Linked DNA regions of Lonchura striata. The protein of the gene in region 2 purifies or fractionates together with the protein of the main gene of each other region. This does not show direct contact. Links are inferred from orthologs where the notes say so. Each region holds a gene or a part of one and is shown on either strand. Other genes may lie near its edges.

Evidence for each region. Proteins that work in one complex are often made in the same cells at the same time.
Region 1: the proteins of ALK (region 2) and PLCG1 purify together in Homo sapiens (affinity purification with western blotting; 3 studies listed by BioGRID, with this or other methods). This does not show direct contact. The link is inferred for Lonchura striata from reciprocal best matches to the Homo sapiens genes ALK and PLCG1.

What each region holds. Positions count from the first base shown.
Region 1 is NC_134619.1:9,747,161-9,755,022, forward strand, and holds the start of PLCG1 (1-phosphatidylinositol 4,5-bisphosphate phosphodiesterase gamma-1), read right to left. Parts: upstream 3,085-7,862; 5' UTR 3,050-3,084; coding exon 2,848-3,049; intron 1-2,847. UniProt on the Homo sapiens protein: Mediates the production of the second messenger molecules diacylglycerol (DAG) and inositol 1,4,5-trisphosphate (IP3). Plays an important role in the regulation of intracellular signaling cascades.
Region 2 is NC_134605.1:19,515,954-19,523,716, reverse strand, and holds the start of ALK (ALK tyrosine kinase receptor), read right to left. Parts: upstream 3,085-7,763; 5' UTR 3,075-3,084; coding exon 2,975-3,074; intron 1-2,974. UniProt on the Homo sapiens protein: Neuronal receptor tyrosine kinase that is essentially and transiently expressed in specific regions of the central and peripheral nervous systems and plays an important role in the genesis and differentiation of the nervous system.

The sequences.
Region 1 (7,862 bases), on a different chromosome or scaffold from region 2:
TTCATGCACTGCCCACCCTGCAACAGGAGCTTCCCAAGCTGCAGCCACAGGGGCTGTGCTCTTCCCAACACTGTCAGCCATGGAGCCAGGTCACCCATCCCTCTCTGGGAGAAACACACATCTCCTTTCTGCACAGCCCACAGGAGCAGAGAAAGGAGCACAGATCCTCTGTCGCTGGTGTCCATGGAGACCTCTCCAAGACATGGCCATCCACACAGACATGCCCCAAGCCCAAAACCTCCATATGCAATATACCGTGGATGTTCACCTGTTCTGAAATGGATAAAACCCCAGAATCATTCCTACTTAGACATTTAACATGTATCCAGAGCAGTCTAAAACTCCCTAGTGTTCTCCAGCGCTCAAAAACCACAAGAACATCCATTGCTGACCCATGGACACAGCAATCTTTGATCTGTAAGTCCCCAGACACCATTTGGAGGAGATGCTGTTCCATGGGAAGGAACACCTCATCCCCTGACAGCTGGCTACTCTCCTCATAGTGCAAGCTGAGGCCAAACCAGAACCACCACAAAAAGTAAAACCCAGTGTCCCTACCAGCCCCAGTCTACTGCTCCCTGTGCTGGCATGGCTTCTTTTCATGGGGAGAACTGGATCAGTCATTGCCCATACCCTGCACTGAAAGCGATGAGCTCAACTCCAGATTATTCCCCCTCTGGTTCTCTGGTTCCCACCATGGCCATGGCAATGTTGACCTCAAGGGGATGAGCCAGGAGGGGAATACCTTGAAGTGGAGCTGTCACACACCCAGCATTTCCCAGGCATCCTCTTTCTGCCCAGAAAGCACATCCAGATAAAAACAGGGAAGCTGGCCAAGAACCTGGTACTGCTGGCCATCGATCCCATGGCTTTGCCTTGCCTGCCTAGAAACCCAGGCACTACTTGTGTACACAGGTTGGTATTTCCAGCTGGAGCCCCACAGTTCTGTCCAGGAAGTGTTAAAGCAAAGCTCTGCTCCTCAGCCCTGCAAGCTCAGGGTGCTGGGTGACACCAGAGGAGGGGACTGAGGGCAGGGTGAGCTGCTCTGGTGAGAGAGGATGCCATGGGGAAAGCATCTGGCATCAGAGAGATGAGGCTGAAGATACAGCAGCTCTTCAGCCTGATGTCCTCTGTGTCCAGCAAGGCCCACCTGGCCACTTGGGAGGGTCACACATAGTGTGAGATCACCACGAGCACAGGGAGGCACACATGGGGAGCCCAGAGACCAAAACCACCAGCCAGACACCTTGCCTGTGGCACAGTAGAGAGGCCCCAAGGAATTTTTCTTTGTGACATTAAAAGAAACAGTCATCTCGGTCCCTGGGACACTCTCTTTGCTTTCACTGCTCTTGGATGTCTGCACAGCACAAGGATTCCTTGCAGCTGTGGCTTTATCATTGTCAGGCCCACAACTCTGGTACAGAAACTGAAGTTCTCCAGATTTCCCCAAAAGGTTACAGGGACACACCCAGGTCTGTCCCCAGGAACAACCACCCATGCAGACACCTCTGTCCCCCATGGGCACACGTGGTCTGTGGGCTCTGCCCAAGACCAGAATCTCCCCAGCAAGACCAATGTTTGTTCTGCCTGAGTTTGAGAACAGCTCAAGCCCAGGGTCAATGAAATGCTGCTCTCACACTGCCTCACTGCTCCCACAGGCCCTTCTGGGAAAGAGATGGGGGAGCTGCACGTCCTCATGATGCTAAAGACTCCCTCCAAATCTGCCTGTAGACCCCACAGGGCGCAAGGTAGAGGACTCAAAGGGTCCCAGGGCAAACCAAAGCCCCAGATTAGCATTTTGTGGACCTGCTACAGAGGTGTGGCCACCATCTCCATGCCCCTTCCTCATCAAAGCCCCTTGTACTAATAGCATCCCAGCTTTCCATCCTGGACCAGCAGCACTTGCCAGGAGAGATGACAACCCCTCCCTGGCCTTGCTGGGCCTCTGCCACATCCCTCAGCATGGGGAAGGCCAGTGCCACAGCCAGTACCAGCTCTCCCACCACTTGGCCTTCGTGCACGTCCCCTCTTCCTCACGTCCCACACAGAGCAGAGCCCCTGTCCTCGTGCTGGTGCACACAGGGGCAGGAAGGATAATTTAAGAAAACCTGGGAAACCAACACCAAGTTTAAGAGTGCAGAGCATGCCAGATCTCACCCCCTTCCCACCTTACGGCCCTGCATAAGAAACCTGGTTTTACACTCAGGTTTCATCCTTTCCTCTGTCCTCCTCGCCCCCATCCAGCACAGGAAGCCGGGGCTCAGCACACCCTGTGCCAGCACCCTCGGGCTGATGCGCAGAGGGCAACGGGGAAGAGGACGGAACTACAGCACAATATTTTGGGTTGGTTTTCCTACTGTTTAACCTTTTCCGTTCGATCTCATCTGTTGCTCCGAGGTGCAACCGCAAAAGGGCTCACACTAGTCCTGCCTCCTTCTGAGGTTCCCTACCGCCCTTAGGTGCTGCTCGCCAAGGCACCACCCGGGAAAACACCGCGTTTATCCCAGGGGAAGTTTGGTGCCGAACAGGGATGCGGAAAGTTGGGAGGCGGCGCTGGGCGGGGGCAGCGGCGGTACCGGCCCGCGCATCCCCCGCGCATCCCCCGCGCATCCCCCGCGCATCCCCCGCGCACAGGGCGGTCGGGGTCGGCCCCACGCTGGGACCCGGACTCCTCTCCGCCCCCCAGGCTGCCCGCGGGGAGATGCCGGGCGCGGAGAGCCTGGAGGTTCATTATTTTTATTTTATTTTATTTTTCCCGTGCCCCTCTCCTCGCCACCGAGCCCCGGCTCCCGGCGGGGCTCCAGCCCCTCGGCCGCCCCTTCCCGCCGGGCTCCGCCGCGCACTCACCGGCCCCCTCCACCTTCTCGGAGCCGCGGCTCCAGGTGACCTGCCGCGTCTCCAGCTTCACCTGGAAAGTTTTCCGCTCGGGTCGCTGCGACTTTTTGGAGTAGAAGAGGGTCATGACGGTGCCCATCTCCAAGCTGCGGCACAGCTGCGCCGCCTCCGCCTCGCTGGGCGCCCCGGGGCCGGCGCCCGGCCCGGCCGCCATCGGCGCGGCGAACAAAGGGGAGCGGGAGCGCCCGAGCCCCGCCGCGCCCCGCGCCGCCGCCGCGGGAGGGAGCGGAGGAGGAGGAGGAGGAGGAGAGAGAGAAGGAGGAGCGAGGAAGGAGGAGGAGGAGGGAGGGGAAGGGGCGGAGCGCTGCCGGCGCGGAGGGCGGGCGCGCAGCGTGCGGGGAGCGCGCAGCCGGTGCTGCGGGGCTCGGAGCATCCCCGCACAGCGCGGCTCCTTCGTGCTGCGGGATGGAGTGCCACAGACCGCCCAGCACGCTGGGAACCGTGCGACCCTCCGCACCATGGGGGACCGGGGGACTCTGCACCCCATGGCACCGGCTCCCCTGCGGGACGGGGGGACTCTGCAGCCCATGAGATGTCTGGGGATCGGAGAATCTGCACCCCATGGCACCCCTGGGGATCGGGGACTGTGCACCCCATGGCACCCCTGGGGATCGGGGACTGTGCACCCCATGGCACACCTAGGGGACCACCCTGCACCCCGCAGGTCCCCCGTGGGCCACACAGCCCACAGGATACCTTAGGGCCGTGGCACCCACAGCAGGGTTTGTGTGGGATCCTGGCATGCCACGTGTGGAGTTCCAGCAGTGCATCCCACGATGGCTTTTCCGGGGGACAGAGCCCTCTGTATGGCTGGCACTGTGGTGTGGCTTCTTGATGAAGCCAGGTCTGCGTTTGCTGGAGTTTCCTCCACACGGATCCCAGCTGGATCCGTGCTGGCATGGAAAACAGGACCGGGCTTGCAGGGTGGCCTGTGGCATCCCACCCCTGGGGGACCTGTAGGGAGCCGGGGGTCACTGGACACTCTCCAGCTGTTCTCTGGCCCCACAAAAAACAGGGGTTAGAGACCACACAAAAGCAGGGTTAGCAAGGGGATAAGTGGTTGAATTGGGAAGCGTTTCAGTGCAGTTTGCTCCATTCATGTGGTTAAAGCCTGTGATTTCCCTTTCTGTGTGCCTCTGACCTTCTTCCCCATGCCCTCCTTTACATTAGGACATCCCATGGCACACGGTGCTCAGGCTTTCCCATTTATATGTATAAATGTATAAATATGGGTTAATGCTTGGACCTGATGATCTTAGAGGACTTTTCCAACTTTATCAATCCCATTATTTTTTTTCTTTTTTCCAAACCTCATGATGCTGTGAATACACACACGTACACACACGTGCCCACAGGCCCATGGCAAGGCAGCCTGTGCTCAGCAGCCCTTATCTCAGCCCCCCAGCTCACAGCTGGGACTGGGAGGGTGTCATCTTCTTAGTGAGGGGCCCATCCCTGAGTGGATTCCACATGTGAGCAGCTCTCTGTGTCCTACTGCTCCACCTGCCTCCACAGGGACATTCCCCAGCACACATGCATCCACACACAGTAGGAGCCCTATAAGGTCGTTTAGGATCCTACCTGGCGTCTGGGCATCAAACAGGCAAGGTGAGAGTCTAAACCTGTCCTGATAGAAGTGAGCAGTGTATGACAGCACTGTAAGGATGCTGGGGATGTGCTGAGCTGAGCCAGAGCTGCTGGAGCCTGGGCTCGGTGCTGGCACAGCACTCCGGGCCTCATTCTCTCCGGGGTGAGCCGCCGTGGGAAGTGGCTCCTGGCTTGTGTAATGGCCTCGCTTGGGACCGGCAGGAAACAGCCGGCTCCCAGTGGTCTTAAAATAGCTGAGCATTGTGGGCACACCCTTGTTTTTGAGGGCAAAACCTGGGAATGGAGTGTGGCCATCGAAGAAGCAGAACAGGTAACTCCCTTGTTCCCAAACACTGCCAGCTCCTGCTGATGGAGAGCACCTGGCAAGGTGTGTCCTCAGCTCGGAGCTCGGGGTGGCTGAGGCCAACACGTGGAGGATGTGGTTTACAATGAGCTGTTTGCAGTGGATATTTTTTATTTTCTAAGTTTGACTGATCATCTTTTAGCCTTGCATTAGCTCTCTGTGTCTAAGATGCTGCATGCCAAGGAATTCCTCTGTTTAATTTGACAGCAGAGGAAATTTGATAGCCCTTGTGTGCCTGCTGTCTGTCAGCCCCATTTGGTGGCCCCAGCTCCTGTACCAGCCAGGCTGTGAACAATCATCCCCACCCCTCAGGGCAGTAAAAACTTCCATTATATTCCTGTTTTGCTTTTGAAGAAATTCTCTGGACTGTGCTCATCATATGGCTGTGGAAGCCTGCGGGTCTTGCAATCTCCCCTTGCCAACGCCTCAGGGAAAAGGGGGATTTTCCCCTCGGAGTGGCCCCAGCACCTCCCCCTTCAGAGTTCCGGAGCACGGGATGCCATCCCCCATATCCTGCAGGATTCGTGGAGCAGCTGCATCCTCCCACCGGGAACAGGCCAATGCCAGGTGACCTCCGGCTTAAGGACAGCCCCAGGCATGCTCAAAGCCCGGGGAACAGAATCCAGGGACACAGCACTGCGAGCCCACCCCACAGGCAGGTGCGGGGGTCCCTGCAGCGCAGCATCCCTCTGCCCAGTGGGTGCCTGATACTCAAGGAAGTGGTGCAGACCCTGGGCGAGATGCCTCTCTCCGGGTTATTTCTTCATTCCTGCCTGCTCTGCGCTGCCCGGGCTGGGTGAAGACAACACCAGCCGAGAGAATCCCCACGGGGGAATTGCTGCCGTGGTGCTGCAGGGAGCAGGGCGCGGAGGGCCCCGGGGGAAGGCGGTGCGGAGCTGCCCGGGCTGGTGCTGTGCCGGGATGCGGGGCAGAGCCGCCCGGGGCTGCGGGGGCTCGCTCTCCGGGAGCCGGGCACAGCCGTGCCCGCAGGCTGCCTCCCCACAGCCCCTGCCCGGCGCTGCAAATTCCCTCTGGGTGACAGCCGGCACCCGGCGAGAAACCCACTGCAGCTCCCGCTCCCTGTCCCCGCACTTCTTTAATATCGAATTCACCCGGTTTCAATTTTCAACCCCGGAATCCTTAAGACTTCAAGGGGGATGGGGCTGCATCCTGCAGGGTTTTGCACCTCCCCTTGGCCACCAGGCCCTGTGCTGCACAAGATCCAGTTCAAAGCTACATTTGTGTCCTCTCCCCCGGTCATGTCACTGCTGCCTCAGTTTCCCTGGCTGCCAAACACAGGCCCGGTTGTGGGGGTGGTGGCACTAGGGCAGGCGAGCACAGGCGCTGCAGCAGAGGGATGCAAGACAGGATGTGGCAGGTTTGTGGCCATTTCTCCGTTTGCACAGTGAGTCAGTGGGGTCTGGGAATTCTCCGTGGGGTGTGTGGTCCTCAGCATGCTGTGCCACAGGCAAAGCCACCGATTAAACCCTCCTCAGCCCCCTGCCCAGGACAGAGCCTGTGCTCCCCAGTGCTGGGAGGGAGCAGGGGGAATTTTCAAGGGTGGGTTTTGCACCAACATCCTTCTCCTTCTTGCTGACCGAGAGGCACAACACGCTCCAGCCTTGGCCATCAGACACAGATCTCCCAGCCTGGCCAGAGAACCCCACCATGCCCAGGTGGATCTGCCAGCAGCAATTCTGGGGTGGGGGACCCCCTCTATGGGAGAACATCCCTTCCCACTGCATTCCCCAATTCCCTGTTCAAGAATACTAGAATTTGTAAGATAGGGGATAACTGGGCCAGGTCAGCAGGCGGGAAGCAGGGCCGTATAAATAGAAATGATATTTTTACAGGCTGCATTGTTCAGCCACGGGCAGGCTGGGAGCACAATGAGCCCCTTTCCCTCTCCACTGGCATTTTCACCGCTGCACCTTGGAAAGGCCCCAGAGAGCAAACTCCTGCCAGACTCCGAGCTTGTGCAGCCACAACAAAGTGCCTGCGGATCGCAGCGAGCAGCAGGAAGCAGCTCAGGGCTGGCTGCCCAGAGCCTGGCCCCACAGCCACCCTCGGGGGTCTGGGAGCCCACCCCAGCTCTGGGATCACGGGGAGGTGCTTGCAGAGGAGCCAGGGCTCTGCCTGCTCCACAATCCCCAAGGACACCAGGCCAGGGCTGCTCCCAGCACCAGGGGGGAGAATGCATCCATCAGCCTCATCACCCGAGTCCTTGCCCAGCCTCCCGCCCTTCCCAGGCACGGAGGGGAAGGAGGTGCCCTCCCTCCATCCTGCTCTGTGCAGAGGGCTGGGGCTGAATAAAAGGCAGCAGAGAAACCAGGCGGAGCAGCTCTGGGCTCACTGCATCCCCCTGCTCCTGCTCTCTGCTGTCCTGGGCAGGGCTTCCCCCAGGGCAAAGCAAACTGCGAGCTGTGCCTGCGTGGAAAGCCAGGGTGGGCACCACGGAGGGGGCAGCACAATCACAGCAAGGCAGGGATGGGCACATCCTTCAGGGAATTCCTGCTGGGGCTGGGAACAGGAACTGCATCCCACCATCATCACCAGCCCAGCGACCACGGGGGCCTCACATCCAGGGCTGGAGGTGAAAGAACACAGAGACACCGACACTCAGTTAAGTTGTAGGAATTTATTTTAAATAACCTACACTTGATTAAAAGGGAATTCATGATAAAAATAGAAGATACTTGTTGAGGAAAGGCTGCAGGAAATGGTCTTGCACACACACTACGCTAACGATGCCTCTAAGACTAATGATTATAGCAAAAAAAGGTTTCACATTAAAATTCTGCTTTTTAATTTTTAAAATTTTTTTACACAATTACAAAAGAAAAAAATAAAAGCCCTAAAATCTTGATTATTTTCCTTTTTGGACCAATGCTCATTTCCCTCGAAATTTATTGACCTGTGAAACTTCTTTTTACACAATAAAATCTTTCAAGTAAAAGAGGGGAGTGGGGCTTAGAAAAAAAGGGGGAGGGAAAAGGTAAAACAGTCTGACAAACCT
Region 2 (7,763 bases):
TTTGTCCTAGAGAAGCACTGGGAGAAGGCTAACAAGACAGTACTAAGTCCAAAAGCATTTCCAAGAGAGGAAAACTTTCTTGTACCCAATTTGAAAAGGCCAAGCTGACGCAGAAATGGTAGATGGGCTGAGGTTTGATCCTATTCCAACTGAATGAAACTTCCATGCAGTTTCTCTAAATGGAAGCTTCTTGCAGGATGCTCTGTTCCCACAAGGAAGAGTGTGAGAGAAATCTGGCATCAAGAATATTTGCAGAAAAGCCCTGTAGAAATTCAACTTTATGGCTTGTCTGCAGAACAACAGCTGCCCATAAGTACATCCTTTACTAATTGCTCAGTAACAGACTGAGACAAAGTGCTTTATGCTTTGTACAAGCATGCTGTTAAAAAAGGAAAGGATTCACTTCAGTTAAATTTATTTTTGAGCCAGCAAATGAAAGTGTTAGTTAAAGAGAATAAAGCATTATTTACAGGACTCTGTTATCACCTCTAAGGTCAGTGGGACTTCATCCCCTTGCCATTTTTCCTCACCCTAAAATATAATTCATTCTCCATTCACATGGAGGATAATGTGATGAAAATAATTTAGCAAGGTAATTATACATTTTTCTGGGAAATACTGCAACCCTGGACATCTCCAGCAGACAAAAAGAAAAACAAAAGCCCAGTATGCCAACATAAGTGAAGCAGCTTTCCATTGTTGATGGGAGGATTGTGTTGTTTGAAATCCATTTCCAATTAGCTTAAGCAATGAAGGAAAGGCTCAGTTGCCTTAGGAAGGGCTTTAGTTAAGCCCCGTGCACATTAGCTGCAATGGTGTCAATAACTGCTGGAATCTCACAGGCTGGTGGATGCTGTTCGTGCTGTTATCACTGTATCAGCACATCCTGCTGTCGGCAGGGCTACACAGCACAAATTTAAGGCTGGCAGTGACACATGGTTTTCACATAGACAGCACCTTAGCAAAGCAGGGAATGGATTTCCTAATGTTGTTAAACAAACCCATGTTACAAAAGCAAGGCAAAGCCACAGTGTAACTATGCTAAAGAGTCACTGCTGAAAAAGCAGAGGTGCAATTCGGAAAGAGATCAGGATTTTTACAGGAGATTGTGAACAGCTGCAAGGAGGTTACCACTTCAATATGGGTAAAGGAGGTCTATATTCCTTCCCTCTGCTCCTCCTTTTCCTACCTCCTCTGTGACTGACTTTGCATGAGTGTGTTGCAGTAAGAACAGCAGAGCTTTCTCTCCAACATGATTTTCCAGGGGCATAGCTTCCTACTGATCTGGAAAAACATGAATTTCTCCTCAACAGTAAGACAACAGACAAAATAAAGCGTGTGAGTTTTAATAGCTTTGTATTCACATCAGAGAACCTGTTAGTTCTTATGTATGCCCTTCCCTCAGGTTAAAAACACACCTTCATCCTCTAAGACAAATGCATGTCCTCAAGCTCCATCACTGCTGTAAGTACCTGATTAAAAATGGCATTCAAAACTAAGGCTTCACTGCCCAAGGAGATCTGTAAATCAAAACAAGTGCTAATCACAACAAATCCTCCAAATAGAAAGAAAAGGAGACAGTAGGGTTTGGCGTCTTTAATTTTTAATTATTCTTTATTTACGGCAATGTAGCAAGGCAAGACCTGCTAGAAGGTGGGGGGTGTTGGCCTCGCCTAGCCACCTTGTGGTGGACAGCACCTCTGTGTTATCCCTGCCAGATCCAGCACAGGAAGAGCTAAACCTGGGTACCTCACTTTAGCCACAGCTGCAGGACTTACAGCCTATCCTGACAGTCAGCTTTGGTTTTCCTTTCAGGCAGCAAGCAAGGAGATGAGTTCCATTTGTAGCTCTTCAGATGGCTATCCCATCTTTTCAGATGAGCATCCAAAATCAGTTGCTCCAACTTTATATTCAAAGCCCAGCAGTGACTTCTCCCTCCTCTTGTGAACTTACTGAAGTGTATTCTGTGGTCCATTAAGTAGGTGCCTACTCAGGGACACATCATTGACTTCTACAAAGCTTCATAAAAAGTACCTGACTTAACTCACTGTGACAAATTATTTGGACCTGCAGTCCTCTAGGTATTATATTCTTCTAGTAGGAAAGGCTGAATCACAGCTTCTGTTAAAGATACAAAGCACACACAGAATGGAAATTTCTCTTGATCACTAGCCCACAACAGAGTCCTGATTTGAGATAAAGGAGCTGCCCCAAACCGTGACTGCCAATCACCGCCCACCAGAACCAAAATTCTGAGCTGGGTTCTCTCTTCGCACAAATACCAGTGCTGCACGAGCCTTCTCAGATGTACAACTTCTTGTACTGTAGCTGACAGAATGCAATTCACTAAGGATCCTTTGGGGTTTTAAAATGTCAATCAGCCCCTATATTTTATGTTTAAAGATCAGGAATAATAGTAATATCAATATCTAGTAATAGAGATAGTAGCATTAATGTACAAAATCAGGAGCCAGACCCAACTTTAGAGATGTTTGTGCTGTTCCCTGGTCTGCTGTCACATAACCTTGAAAACACTCGCAGCACTTTGAGGAAACATCCCTTTTTAGGATGATATTTTTTAAGTTTCAAAGAACCTGATCTTCTTGTCCTTCGACTAATGACACTTTAACCTTCTAGGACTTGCTCGTGGCTTTCTAGCACATAGAAACTCTTGGCGTTTCGCAAAAATCCCTCGTCACCTTCAAAATAGTCCTCCTGGCCCCACCAAAGCGCTTCGATACATTTCGCACGGGTAAAGCGCAGCCCTTAGGGACAAGCCGTGAGGGGAAGGCGCGAGTGCTCGGGGGAGCTGCGCTTCCCGCATCGCCGGGGCCGGCAGTGACCGGGACGGTGCGGGGCGCTGGACGCGTGTCCGGGCGGGGAGGGCGCACGGCAGCGCGGGGCACGGCGGGGCTGCGGGAGCGGGCGCGGGGCGCTGCCCGGCGCGGTGCGCGGCATGCAACGCACGGCTCACCTGCCGCGGAGACGTAGAAGAGGAGGCGGGGGCGGGCGGCGCGGATGGCCGCCGACAGCCCTCGCTCGCTGCCCGGGAGGGCGCCGCGGCGCTCGGGCATCAGCCGCACCCGCAGCCGCCCGTCGCCGGCGCGGAGCCACCAGGCGAAGAGCTCGGTGAGGTTGAACTCCAGGTGCGCCCCGCCGGGGCCCGGCTCGCCGGCGCAGCCGTCCCGCACGGTGCCCTCGCCCAGCTCCAGCACCAGCTGCTTGGCGCGCCGCAGCCGCCGCCCGGCCGCGGAGGGCCCGGCGGGGACGGCGGGCGGCTCGGCCCGCGGCAGCGCCCCGCGGGCGGCGCGGAGCAGGGGCGCGCAGTCCAAGCGCAGGCGGCACCGCGCCGCGGCGCGCCCCGGCGGCCCCAGCACCAGCTCCCGCACGTAGGTGCGAAACAGCGAGGGCACGACGAAGTCCATCGCCAGGCTCCTCCTCTGCAGCCGCGAGAGGCCGGGGGTGTCCCGCGGTCCCGCCGCCGCCCCCGGGGCCAAGCTCAAGGCGAGGCAGGCGGCGGCCAGGAGGCGGGCGGACAGCCTGTCCCCAGCCATGACCCGCGGGGGGCCGGCAGCGCTCCGTCCCGCGCCCGCGGAGCGGCGCCGGGGAGCGCGGTGCCGGCGCGGCGCTCTGCGGAGGGAGCTCGGGGCCGCCGCCGGCCGCTCCGCCCGGGGCCGCCGCTGCGCGGGCTTTGCCGGCTCCAACTACCCGCCACAACGCAGGCATTACCCTGCGAGCGCTGACGTCACGCCCGAGCGCGCCCCCCGGCAGCCAATGGCGTCCCCGGTAGCCCTCATTATGCAAATGTACGGGGGCGGGGCGGGCGGGGCGTTCATTGAGGGAAATGGCCCGGCGGGCGCGGGGAGCGGGCCGGGTGTGCGTCCCCCGGGACGGGCCGGGCACGGACGCGCCCCGGGAACGGGGGCGGGCAGCGGCCAATTGCTGCCCGCAGCGGGGCACCTGGCAACAGCACGGCCCGGAGGGGCTGGGGGCGGGCACCGGGCGCCGAGCCCGGCTGCCACCCCCGTGTGGCGGGGGGCTCTGGGGTCCCGTTCCCCGCCTCTTCTCTCTGGGCAGGCAATGATGGACATACCTGTCCGCTTTTCTTCCTTGCTTTCCTTTTCTTCCCTTCATTTTTTTCCTCTTAATTTCTTTTCCTTTTCCTTCCCTCTGTGCTCCTTCCCCATCCTTCCTTTTCCTCTCTTCCTTTCCTTTCTTCCCTTCCTTTCCTTCCTGGCTTCCTTCCGTACCTCCTTAAAGGCTAACATCCATAAAAGAACCCTGCATGTCTTTCCCCTGTAGAGAAAGGGGGAAAAAAATTAGAAGCAAGTAGTGGGGGGGGGGGAGAAATCTTAGAGTATAAGTCATTCTAAAAAATGGATCAAAATTCTTCAATTTCTGCATGAAAACAACAGCCTTAAGAAAGGTCCATGCAACAATTTCCCCTTTTTTCACCCTTCATAAATACAATTTAATTACTGTAATTACATTAGTGCTGTGCCTTAGGATAGCTAATCATAACTCATTCATATTTCTGGAAGTTGCCTATATGAATTAATGACTTATTATTATCTCTTTAGTTTGATACTTAATGCATGTATATTTTTATAATCCAGGTACTTTAACTATATAATCATTAGAGTGCAATTATTCTGTCGTGCAGTTATTCTTGTGCTTATATCAAATTAATGTTAATATACAGATATTGTGGAGCAGAACCACAGTGTAATGCCTCCGTAATTGTAATGCCACAGAGTGTAATTGCAGGCGCAATGCTAGAAAAGGGAACCATGATCATTTCTTCACAGAAGCGTTGAGGAAGGAACTTCAGGGCAATTGCTGAAGGATTAGTTAAATAATAGAGTTAATACAAAAAAAGCCACCTCTGTGCTGTGTTTAGCGTCATAGAGGTGAGCTGATTCAAAGCCCATCTGAGAGGCTGGCATTTCTCTGGCTGCAAATGCTTTGGACAGATCCTTGCTTTACCCCAGCTCTTCTTATTTCAGAGTCCACTAAATCAACTTGCGCAACATGTGAAGCCTAATCCCTTACTTTTCACTTTTAATGAGCCACCAGTAGGGTGCCATCCCTGGCTCTGGGACAGAGCACAGATGCCCTGTCACAAGTCCCAGCACCTTAGTGCTGGATGTACCAGTGACCGTCCCAACACTGGCACCATGGCTGTGCCCAGCTGCAGGTGGCCACCAGGGAGGCCTCACTGCTTGCCTCTCCTCTCTGCAGCCCAGCACCTCCCTGCACCCACAGCTCTGCTTGGCCCTGGGCCAGCTGTGGGTCCTGAGCAGCAGGAAGGAGGCAGTGGCAGAGAAAGAAGAGGAAGAGAGGAACAGGAAGAAGGCAGTGATGAGGATGAGACCTCCATCATCCTCATCTGGCCCACAGCTCCTGCAGTGCCACTCCTGGGTTGGTTGTGTTGCTATACCCCATGATAGGGCAGGAGAGGTTCCCAACCATGCACACATCACTCTGGGATTGATCTCTGCCTTCCCTGGCAGGGAGCTGATGGGGACATTTCCATGTCCTACATCCCCTGGTCCCCTTTTAGTCCCCAGCCAGGAAGGGTAAAATCTGCTGTTCTGGCAGCTCAGAGGGAGCCATGGCTTGGGCAGCACCTCTGTCCCACCCCTAGCATGGGCCTTTGTCCTGCCCCTGTGTCCTTTCCCATGGGGCAGGGCTGTGCAGGCACATCTGCCCTTGGGATGGGGGAGCAGCAGGGCCTGGCACTGGTTCACCTCTCTTTCTGCAGCTCCTGGGCACTGAAGAAGCTGTAGGTGGGAACATAACAGGGGTAAGCTGGGAAATGCCTCAGGAGCAGCCTGAGAGCGGAACACAGCTCCCCACTGGGCAGAGGTGACCCTATGTTTGGGGGTGGTGTTGAGCACAGCTAAAAAGAGAGGATAGGCAGCTGGGGACTTATTGAGCTGTCTCCCTGCCCCTTCCCAGTGCACAGGACAAAGGGAGCCCAAGTGACCTAACTGCTGAGCATCTAATCCCTGGAGAAGGAGGTGAGCCGCTGCCATGCAGTGTCTCTGCTCTGGGCTATGTCCCTGAGCTCTCCTCCCCCAGCTGAGCAGCAGAGCCATCCCAGCTCACCTTCTTCCACTCCTTGTCTTTTACCCAGTGGAGGACATTTAGTGCCAGGAGTCTGTAGAGGCTGGCAGAGATGAAGATCACTGCCCTGTGACTGGGCTGGGGTCTGTGGTGCCTTTTAGCAAGCAGAAGGATTGGAGAGCCACCAGGAGCACCAGCATGTCCTTGCAAGTGGCACTGGGAGAAATGCTGTGGTGCAGGGCAGAGAGCCCAGGAGGGCAGAGGGTCCTTGCTCTGCCATGCTCAGGCTGCTGGGGCTGGGTGGCAGCTCCTCAGTGCCCCTTCTTTTGCAGGGCTGCTCTATGAGCAGAGCAGGTTGATCCCAAGCAAGAGCTTCCAATGTCCCTGTCTGGCAATGGAGGACAACTTTGCTGCTCACCAGGTAAGTTTCGGAAGGAAAGACAAGCTTGTGCTCTGGCTGAACTGTGCTCACTTGTCCTGTGAGTGTCACCTTGCAGGTGTGGGACCCCAAGGGAGGACGTCACCTGGATGAACAAAGAAGTCTGTTGTGTCATAGTTACTGGGTACAGTTTTGGGGGGACAGAGAGCTTCCACAGCTGCCCAGGGCTTGGAGGAGGGCAGGGCAAGGGTTGGAACAGGGTGTCCCAGTGACACATCAGCTTTCAGGAGTCTCCAAGCCAAAGCCACAGGTCCAGCTGCCAGCTCCCTTTCTGTTCTGTCGCATCGCTCAGCACAGCAATGTCCACTGATGGGCTTTTGGGATCTGTCATGGCTTGACGCTGGCACAATGCCAGTGTCCCCACGAAAATACACTTTCCCAAATAAGTGCTGTGAGATGCAATCAGGAACAGAGCAGAGCATGGCCAACTTAGAAACAAAGGAAAAAGAACTTCATTAAACTATGATAAAAGACACACACTAAATCCAGAATTAAAACCTTCCAAAACATTCCTCCTTCCCCCACCCCAACTCCAACAAACCACAGTGAGACATAACTTGGACCCTCAATCAAGTCATCACCATTCAGATAATCTATACTGAGTCCATCAGGGGAGAGAGGAGTCTCTCCTGTACCATAGGAAACACAGTTGCCACCTCTTGTGTTTCCATGTCACACGTGGCACCGCCCAGAGAAAATCTGCCAGTGTGACACTCTCCTTTCCATGCACAGTGCTCTCACCACTGTGCATGGACAGAGACTGCTTACAGGGCTCCTTTAAGGATGCTTTGCCAAGGACCAAAAGAAACAACAGTTCATTTTCTCATTTTCAGACCACAGTCCCCCCCATTTCCCTCCTCCCCTGGGGCCAAGGGTGCAAACAGAGATCTTCTTCTTCCTGAAGATAGAGGACATCATCACACCCTCCTCAACTTTTCTCTGTTCATTCTATTCTTGTGCTGGTAGTTGCTGAAGCAGGTCTCTTGGCTCACCATGCATCCCCCTAAATGCAGTCTCTCTTGGAAGAGAAATTGGTTCAGTCTATGGCTAACAAGAAATGTCCAGCCAAAAGCCACTTCATCATCTCCACCCCAACCTTTTTTTCGTAACATCTCAGGTCCCAGACTGTCTCTCTCCTCTTTCAAATCAAGGAGGAGTAATATTTCATAAAGCTTTCATTTCCCAGGAAAGGGTTAAAAGTCCCAGACTCCCCGGATGGCTGAAATCTTGGCCCAGGACTCCATCTCCCATGCTG